Linked DNA regions of Drosophila melanogaster. The protein of the gene in region 1 purifies or fractionates together with the protein of each later gene. This does not show direct contact. Each region holds a gene or a part of one and is shown on either strand. Other genes may lie near its edges.

Region 1 (5,450 bases):
CTCAGTGCATTGGCCCAAGCTTTAACATTTTAAAACACACCCAACGAGCCAGTTGACCTTTAAGCAAGTGTCGCAAGGCCTTAAGTGAAATATTTTTTAATGACATTTGCCAAATAATTGTCGTGTTTGCTTTTGGGATCTGGCAGGAGCTTGTTGCTGTTGGCCGGGCTTTGCTGCTTCTGCCGCTGCCAACTGGCAACAAAAGTCAATTCACAGACACTCCAGTCGACGGAGTCGGAGTGCAGCCAAAAGGCAAACAAAATACGTTCGCATAGGCAAAGCCCAAGGATACACACAAAGGTACAGTGGTTGCTCTGACTACAAATACAAATTAAACAGGGCCAGAGCTTTAATACCAATTCGATACCATTGCAACAACAGCATTTCAAATGCTACTTTTTTATATCAGATAAAGATAGGTAGAAAAGGCTATATTTACGTTAAAGGCAAGCTGATATTTTAGAAATTTATTCAAAAACAAAATTAATTACTTTGACACATAATATTGTATTTAGTCATCTGACTAGAAACTAGAAATCTCTGAATGTAACGAAGTTCTGTGCATTCTTACAAATATTACAAAAAGTATCTGCTAGATACCACTGTGCGGAACTGGGCCACAAATTCAGACGCAGTGTGTGACAAAGGACTTCTCCCTTCCCCGCTCGGCGACCCTGAATGCTGAATGCCCCCGTGTGTGCCGCTGCTGAAGCGAAACACCCAAAGAGTCACTGACAGAAACAGGATTCGGGTAATAAATTACAAAATTTGACATTTTCTGTTTTGGATCCGCTTGCGCCTGAATGCGAGCGGCAGCCCTCTCTGTCGCACGCCGTCTAGCCGTCTCTTTCGTTCGGTTTCGGTGTGTGTCCAGTTCGGTCGGGCCAAGTCGAGCGTTGCATGAAGCAGCCGGACCTGCCAGGACCTGGACCAGGACCTGAACCTGCATCCAAGAGGCATCGCCGCAATGGTCATAATGACGCTGCCGGGATGCAGCTGAGGACAAGGAGAGCCGTCAGTGGGCAGCGAGAAAGGGACGGAATAGAAGCGCCCTATGCGGTCCGTTGATAGTTAACTGGAAATTTATTATTTTACACAATTTACAATTATCTGATTCGAATGTGCACTCAGCGACGAGGATTCCGGCAGATGGGCAGTACGAGTGAGAGTGCGGGGGTCCAAGTTCGGACGACAGATGCAGTTGTCCTCCCATGGGAACGGCCTCATTTCAGCAGAAGTCACCGAAACGATTTAAGATGTGATTTAATTTTCCAGAAACTGTGGCCATAGTTTCGTCGCTCTTCGGGGGAATTTCTTCGCCAGACAGACAGCGTCGTCATCAATCATCTCGCAGAGTAAAGCCGGGTTAACCTCGATGGGTTTTAGGGGGAAACTTGGCCCGGGGCTGATCAGGAATCAGGCTGGAAATATGAAAATTAAATGCGTTTGGGCAGCAGAAAGTTTTCGAATGGTTCGGTGCTTATACAACAAGTGAAATTTTGCACATCAAACGGCCTTTGACCACATTTAATCCTTAAATCATCTGCCATAGGAACTAATTGATCGAGATCCAGACACATATTAAACACATCAATATATATACACAAATATAATCAATATAGACTATGTTATATTTCGACGTTTCCTATCCTCGTATGCTGTGAGTACACATATTAACCTTCAGCCGTGTAAAGAAATTTCTACGAACAGCCAAGTTAAAGGTACCCAAATTTCCCGAATACTGCTCTTTAAATATCCTTCAGAATTTCCCAGCATGGCTGAACCAGGACTCGATTCAAGTTCCACCCAATGCCTTGTACACCACCCCGTTGTTTTTGCCTTTTCGCGCATGCGCCCCTGCTCCGGCGCAAAAGAGACAGCACTAATGAGACGGCGCTGGGATCGCTGGCATTTCCAGAGCGGCTAGGATATTCCAGGGACCGCTCGTAATCGTTGCTGTTGTTGTTAGCCGCCAGCGGAAAGTAGTGCGCCATGCCATAAATCACACAAATGGGTAGAGTTCCAACTTTCCCACCCCGCCGCTGCTCCTTTTATTGTCCTTCCACGAACCCCGAAACGTTTATGGCCAAATGGCGGCACGAATTTGAATTTGAATTTCGCACGCGGTCTCTCAGTTCGCCTGCGGCCGCTTTCGCTGGCGCTTTGTTTTTGCAACTGACCGCTTATCTTGGGGCGGGGGCTGTCAAGTGGGCGGGGCAGGAGGGCCACAGGCAGAGGCATAAACAACAGCAGCGAGCAGCAAAACAAATCAATTAAAGACCAGAAGGAAAGTGCATTGATAACTGAGCCCGAAGTCAAACTCACGCACAAGTAAACAATTTAAATACGAACTAAAATGCAAACACAGATACAAAATACAGATAGAGATACTGAACAAACACAGATACAAATACTGTGAAGGCGACAATGTACATAACCGAGGGGTGATAAGATCCAAAACGTCGATGACTTCTTCATCGGCAAATACACTGAAAAAAGCTGTTACTAATTATTAAAAAATATGCAATATAATAAAAGGTAAACTATTTTTTTTACTAAATTTTAAACTATTTACTAAACACTGCCATTTAAAATCTTTTTTCACATCCTTAACTACAAAAAAATTAATTTTAAATCAAATTGATTTCGTTTACCTGGCTATTCATTAAAAAAAAAAATAAGTATTGATATATCGGAAAACTAAGTTATCTCCGTTTTTACCAGTGTATCCATTAAGAAGCAACGTTGTCTAGACACAGCCGCGGTAATCAATCATAATGGTGTCTATCTGCTTCATTCTCGCGGTGTACAAATTTCGGGACTTTCCTTGAGAAACCGAGCCATCGACGTCGGCGCGTCAGGAAGAATACAAAAATAAGAACCCGATTCTCAGAACCTCAGCAGAGATACGGATTTTTGAGCCGAGCTCGGTCGCCTCTTTCAATTCAGTCGAGTCCCGAACGCGAAGTGAAGCGCATTGAACCCACATTGAACTGAGAGATAGTCGAGGAAAAAGAGTCACAAAATCAACAGCAACATCCTGTAAATAAACAGAAATGTATGAATTATATTAAAATAAGACGATAAAGCTGAAAAGTGTGTACAAGCCTTATAAATGTTTCAAAACGAGTGTGTGTGCAGAATTCTTTCCTTCTTATTTACTTTTGAAAGATACTTTTAAAGATATACTTGTGACCTTTAAATTATTATTCTATAATTGAACCTAGTTTTAGTTTATTATATTGAATTCGAAGATGGGTTAAAAATGGCAGTTCTCCATTACATACGAAATATTTAGAATGGCTAACGCGATCAAAAGACTCAACATAAAGTGATACACTAATAAATCTCAAATCTATTTTGATTTCTTACAGACCAGACATGGCGCGTCTGCGGCTTCTAATCGGTCTTATATTCTGCCTTGCGATCAGCTTGGATTCGGTGCTTAGTGCCCCAGTGATCAGCCAGATCAGCAAGGACGTGGTGGCCAGTGTGGGCGACTCTGTGGAGTTCAACTGCACCGTGGAGGAGGTGGGACAGCTCTCGGTGAGCTGGGCCAAGCGTCCCAGCGAGTCGGACACCAACTCGGTGGTGCTCTCCATGCGGAATATCCTCAGTCTGCCCGACCAGCGGTACAACGTAACGGTCACCGAAGGACCCAAGACCGGAAGTGCCATTTACACCTTCCGCATTCAGAACATCGAAGTCAGTGACATGGGTCCGTACGAGTGTCAGGTGCTTGTTTCGGCCACGGAGAAGGTGACCAAGAAGCTGAGCCTGCAGATCAAGACCCCGCCGGTGATTGCGGAGAACACCCCCAAGAGCACCCTGGTGACAGAGGGACAGAATCTGGAGCTGACCTGCCATGCCAATGGCTTTCCCAAGCCTACGATCTCCTGGGCCCGCGAGCATAATGCAGTGATGCCTGCCGGTGGCCATTTGCTGGCCGAACCAACTCTCCGGATTCGTTCCGTGCACCGGATGGATCGCGGCGGCTACTACTGCATCGCGCAGAACGGAGAGGGCCAGCCGGACAAGAGGTTGATCCGGGTCGAAGTGGAGTTCCGTCCGCAGATTGCCGTCCAGAGGCCCAAGATCGCCCAAATGGTGTCCCATTCCGCGGAGCTGGAGTGCTCCGTGCAGGGCTACCCGGCTCCGACTGTAGTTTGGCACAAGAATGGCGTGCCCCTGCAGTCTAGCCGGCACCACGAGGTGGCCAACACCGCCTCCTCCTCGGGAACCACAACCTCTGTGCTGCGCATCGATAGCGTGGGCGAGGAGGACTTTGGGGACTACTACTGCAATGCCACCAATAAGCTGGGACACGCCGATGCGCGACTGCATCTCTTCCAGACCGTCATCCCAGTGCCCTCCTTGTCGTAATAAGCCCTCAACGTCTGATTTCCATTCCCACGCAACAAGACTGGAACCCTCACTTTCTCCTCTCGTCTCGCTTTTTCGGCAATTCGCCAGTCCGGATGCGGTCTGTGTTTATATTATTAATGATTCATTCAATTAGCTCCCATTCAGACTTCATTATTTTCGGACACACTTGAGATCGAGCCACCGCTTGTGCCTTATGAATTTTGCTCTGCATCCGTCGGCTTGTGCAAACACACATTAATATGCTTAAGTAAATAACGTTCTCTGATAAAGTTTAATCGGTCTTTTCCTATGTGGTTGGGTTGGCTTGTATACGGTGTAAGTTAAATACCATGAGAGAATAAACACCTCTTGAAGCAACGAATTAAAGGGTTTGTCATTCAATAAAACTAAGCCAGGAGACAAGGCATTGTCAAAAGTATTTCATTGTTTTATCGAGAGGGAATCTAAAAATATATGGTAAGTGCAGATATAAATGAAAAATTAATCACTTCTAAACAACACCCAATGCTCCATGGATCTTATTAATTTATAACAATAAACAATTCAAACTTTACACTTTAAAAGCCACAGTTTCGTTAGAATGATGGCTAGAACATCCAAATCTTTTAAAAATCCATTAACTTTTTTGGATGCCACTTTCCAAACCCTAAATAACAGATCTTTCAAGATCTTCTTCCTTAAAGCTGCCATCTGAGTCCGCAAGGTCCCACCTTGACACCAAAAACAGCATGTAACCTCCATTCTGAGCTGGTATTCCAACGGTTAACGCTGCCGAAGTCATTTGCCAAAAAGTTAACCGAGCCCGCTCAAAGTGCCACAGCGTTTAACTCTTCAATCATGGTTAAAAAATGGCAGTCAGTTGTTCACCTCTTGACGTAAACACTCACATGGTCAAAATGCGGAGTGGGTTGTGTGGCGAAAAGTGAACCCGAATGTAAGTTGTTCATTGTAATTGAGAAAAATGCGAGGCATTTGTAAGGCGGTCCAACGAGCTGGGTCTGCCACTGGTACATGAACTATTCGGGAGCTTGTGCGGGGATCCAGTCCAGAGTGCCCAAAGGACT
Region 2 (4,884 bases), on another chromosome or scaffold:
ATAGGTAAGATAGATCGCAAGTTGCAACAAATGTTGAAAACCTTTAAAAATATACAAACTTGTTTGTTAAGAACTACTTGAGGACATACTATAATAATTCATAAGAAATATAAGACTGAATTTATTTCCAGTACAAAAGGGGCAGAAACCAGAAACCGCAAGACTCAAAGGTTTATACACGTGCGATGCGAATTCACAGTCGTCTCCCCTCATTTTATTTTGATGGATAACAATCTCCTGGGGCAGGTAGAGAGCGGAAACTGGTAAAGGGGCACAGAGTCCCACAAACCTCAAAGGATCAGCGGAAGGCGCCTAGTTCCAGGACAAGGGGATTGGCACAACAAAAATGGAATAAATGGAGTTTGGAGTGGGAAGAGCAAACAAAATCGGAACGAGATTTCCACTTCAAACAGGCCATTTTTATGAATTTGTAATTACTCTCGAGGGGCAAACAACTCTTGAAGATATGGGATAGGATAGCCCTGAGTTGCGTTGGTTGGTTCAATGTTTGTGCATACCGCGTACTCTTGGATTTGATGAGGTAGACACATCTTATATCTTATATTCAAGAATATTTGTTGGAGAATGTTATAACATTAACTGAGTGCATTGAACCACGAAGTTCCTGGTGCATTTAACCAATATTATGTATGCAATTAGTTGTTTCTTAAATGGAAGTACTGGGTATCTGTTAAGTCTGCATACACTGCCTTCCTCACAACTCATGGCTGTCCTTCCACTATATCATTCCATTTTATTGCACAATATTTTCTAGCACCACGTTGCCTTTTTCAGGCAGATAAGCGAAGATTTCCTCCGCGATAAGAACCCTGAGAATTCCTTGAAGCCAGGCTCCTTGCAGGGCCATTGGAATTGTCAACAACAAATATTTATGATTTGCGCTGGGGTTTCTTGTAACCCTCATTAGTCAATTGTCAGCAGCTCTTGAGGGGATTCGAGTTTTGGGATCGTATCGCAGCACTTGACTCTCAAGTTCTTATTGCTGATGGATTTACAATTTCCTAAATGAAAACTCCATTTTTGTTTAAACTGTTTGACCATGAACTCCAGATGTAAATAGCCGAGTTTTGTTTATCATTGAGAGCGAGAAAAAGTGTTGAAAATCGTGCTTTGTATTCTTGTTGCATTTGCCTTGTTGTGTTTTTCCTTAATTGTTGTTTACTTTTCGAGTGGAAAGCAGGCAACACTTACATAGGAACAACAATTTAAAATTGAATTGTAAAGACGAAAACTTTTGATTACACACATTTTGGGGTAAATTGGGAAAATGAGATACTGAGGCACACACATCAACATCATCATGTCGGCTCTTGTCTTTTGAAAACTTGGCAAAACAATGAGGGAAGTTGGAGCGAAAAGTCAATGGGCGGGGGAGTTGCCTCCATAAATCTCTTTCCGAATGCAAATGTTGCGTCAGCGTGGCATCTTCACGTTTTCCTACCCCATTTGTTGTGCCTCTGTTTGGCTTTGTTGATGCTTTTCTCACTTTTTAGTTGCTCGATTCCCCGGAAGTCTTTTTTTCTTTTTCTGGAGCGAATCGAAGAGCAGCAGCTGCCAACTCGAACTTTCTCTGAAGATCCCGGGAATTCGTGATCATTTCCATGCGCCTATTAATTCATCATTGAATTATTGCCCTTTTTCCCGGTATCCGTATCCCTTCAACAATTTCCTTTGCATTTGTTTACGGAATGACTATTTGGGGATTTATTCAAGCCGGCGTCTGACTGTGCATACAAATGATACCAAAGGGGTCGCGCTATTTTTGGGGCAACTCCATCCACCAAACTCTGGATGTTGATGGATTGAAATATCTGAGGATTAACACACATTATGTTTATGAAATGTTCAAAAGGATTTGTCAGGGCCGTGATTTATGTCAAATGGTTATGTTTTTCATACGGAGCCGCGACACAAGCCATTAGAAAGGATGGAAAATGGGAATTATTGAGGGAAAGAGTCCGTCTGATCATTGACACGAGCCATTAGACCTCAAGACGCGTAAGATGATGATGACGATGGGGTGGGTGTGCTTCGTTACGGAGGGATTATATCAATGAATCGTGAAGCCCCATTAATCTTATTAAGAGCTCGGAATGAAATGTTTTTCGAGACGCCATTTAAATTGTTTTGGTAAGATGTTTCCTCGGTAATTATGGATTGTGGAGGATTATAAATTAATTTAGAGCCGTCAAGATCGGATACCGACATATTTTAAAAGTTTTCAAATTAAGCTCTTATATCTTTTATCTTCTACTTTTCACAAATAACTCAGATTTCAATTGCTACGGCATTAGCGTTTTTCAATAAACTTTTTGGCCAAAATCTTTACATTTGTATAAAACTAAATAAATATGCATGTAAATTGTTTTATTCAATTATAATCACATTTTAATCTTTCAAGTTTGAAGTGTCCATATTCACTTGTTAAATTATTAAAGTTGGCAGACAAATTTGACTTCATTTACAATTCATCGATTTGTTTTCAACTGCTCTTCCTCTTCTACAAATCCCCGAGGTCCTTCACACGAATTTGTAATCTTACCTTTTTCAATTCTCGCAAACACTGTGTAAAATGTGTGTTGCTTTTTTCGAACTTGTTGAAATGTGGCAATTGGGAATAATCCGTTGGTCCTTGAAAACAGCGGGTGGCGTAAATGAACCCGATGTCCTTCCTGCAGGACACTTAGGTGTGTATAACAAACGCACAGATTTTTTGATTTGTTGCGGTTTTTTCTTTTCTCCGCTCCTTCGGCACAGAGCAAAACAAAATGCACAAAAGTAGTTGCGGTGTTTTTGTTAGATTTGTGTAAATATATTTCTTGCACTTAATACAACATACGATGCACAATAGGAATATAAAAAGTTATTCCTTGTTTGCGCCGAATTTGATTTTGTTTTCTTTTGGTCGCGTCTGTGCGGCGAGAGTGTGTGTGTGTGTGCGATGCGAAAGCGAGCACAACCGGAGCGAGGGAAAACGCGTGCGGCTTCCAAAACAGAACAAAACTGACTGACGCCGTTTCGATGTCATGCAATTCATGCGGCTTCGAAACGGTTAACAGAGTCTTAACAGCAACTGTTAATGTTAATTTTCTTGGATTTGTTTTTATTCGGGGAACTGGAAGTGGAACGTGTTTTCGGCGAGAACATGTTTCTCTCTTGAAAAAAAGAAAAAACATAATTTAAGATATAACTTGTAAGTTTATAATAGTATACAAATTATGTCAAGCAACAGTGATTAGCATTGAAAACACCTACACAACGAATTGTTGTAATATTTTATAAGTAATTTAATTAAACTTATTAGACATGATCATAATTCATGTTTATGATTTAGTTCGAACTGGACCACTGTGCACTGGAACTGGAAGCAGCCGGCATTGTAAATTTATAAATCATAGGGGTGGCTGGAAAGCAGCAGTAAAAGTAGCGGCTTTGTTTTCCTGTACAGTAAGTGCAAAATGTTCGATGGTGATTTTATGAAAAAGGTATTGTAGTTTTGGTAAAGCGTTTATTGTTAGTGAAACAAGACACCTCAGATATTATGATCAGATCAGATACTTTATAGAACATGTAGGAGAACATAGGGTAAAATTGTTATAAATTGTTCAAGTCAACACCCAAAACCCAAAGTAGAGGTATTACGTAGTCTACAGCTCTTTATAAATATAAAACTTAAAGTTATTAAAAATTTCTGAGTTGTACATGCTTCAAATAGAAGTAGATGCCGATCTCCCTATATTTCTTTGTTATTAATTTTTCTTAAAAAGAGAGGGAAGCTGGCAAGGGGAAGGGAAAGAAGTTTGTTGATATGGCACTTTTGTTTGAGTAAAGGTTTTGATTTCGGTTTTTGAAACTCGTTTTCAAATGCTTATCAACTGGCGGCAAGTGTTGAAGCGCAGTTTATGCCGATGGGAACATCTGGCATATGTAGGGAAATTCCACGTCCTGATGCGTCATTACAGCACAAACCCTTACCCTTGGCTACCTCCAACCCAACACCCCTTTTCGCATAGGGTTTCATATCCCTACCCCTGAGAAAATTCACTTATTTGGTAAGAAAGACAAAATATAATGATTCTTTCAATCAACTTTTGCGCAATGAAAACTATAAAGAAGATTTTAATGCATTTATTTTGAGCGATACGCAAATCAACAGAATGATTCATCCACAGTTATGAGAAAAACATACGTTGTTGCAGTTTATTTAATAAAGGGCACTCCCCCAGTATTATACTTTCAATTACTATATAGTATGTGCTCTATTTTATAAAAATGTTACGCTTATGATTTATGAGTAATCAACTAATGTAGGAGATATGTCTTCAGACAATTAGGCTACCCATTTAACTAAAGTGTTTGGTAAATATTTTTCAATATTTCAATATTTTCATTGTATACCTATGTATGTACATAGTTTAATATTTATATTGAACTTGTGTCGGTTGAATTATTAGAACAGAAGCCATGACGACACGTGCTAGAAATGTATTAGAAGTCGATTCCCCTGTTCTTCCAAAGGTATTACCCCACGGAATTCCTACCCACATGTCAACAACTTTCACGCCCCGAACTATGAGGGTTCCCTATTTCATTGTGGAGCTACTGAAGCATTTCATTAGACATGATGTTAGGCGACATCTGCTACCGAAAAAAAGGAATAAATATGGTAGGAAACTAGAAAATAAAAGTGAAGGTTGGCTCGAGTTACATACGTATTTGAGTTTGACGCATGCCCGTCACGTCGAAGGGGAAGGATCAAAATGATCGCATCGGATCATTATCATGATCGCAAATGGTAACGAGGAAACCCGCAAAATGTGGGACGCCCAAGGAAAGGAAGTGGAGTAGTGAACACATGTTCCT

The links.
Region 2: the proteins of Ama (region 1) and Nrt purify together in Drosophila melanogaster (affinity purification with western blotting; 3 studies listed by BioGRID, with this or other methods). This does not show direct contact.

Annotation. Positions count from the first base shown.
Region 1 is NT_033777.3:6,760,459-6,765,908, forward strand, and holds Ama (amalgam), read left to right. Parts: upstream 1-2,134; 5' UTR 2,135-2,521; coding exon 2,522-2,538; intron 2,539-2,721; exon of another isoform or gene 2,722-3,058; intron 3,059-3,374; coding exon 3,375-4,383; 3' UTR 4,384-4,803; downstream 4,804-5,450.
Region 2 is NT_037436.4:16,764,220-16,769,103, reverse strand, and holds the start of Nrt (neurotactin), read right to left. Parts: upstream 3,033-4,884; 5' UTR 2,564-3,032; intron 1-2,563. UniProt on the Drosophila melanogaster protein: May mediate or modulate cell adhesion between embryonic cells during development.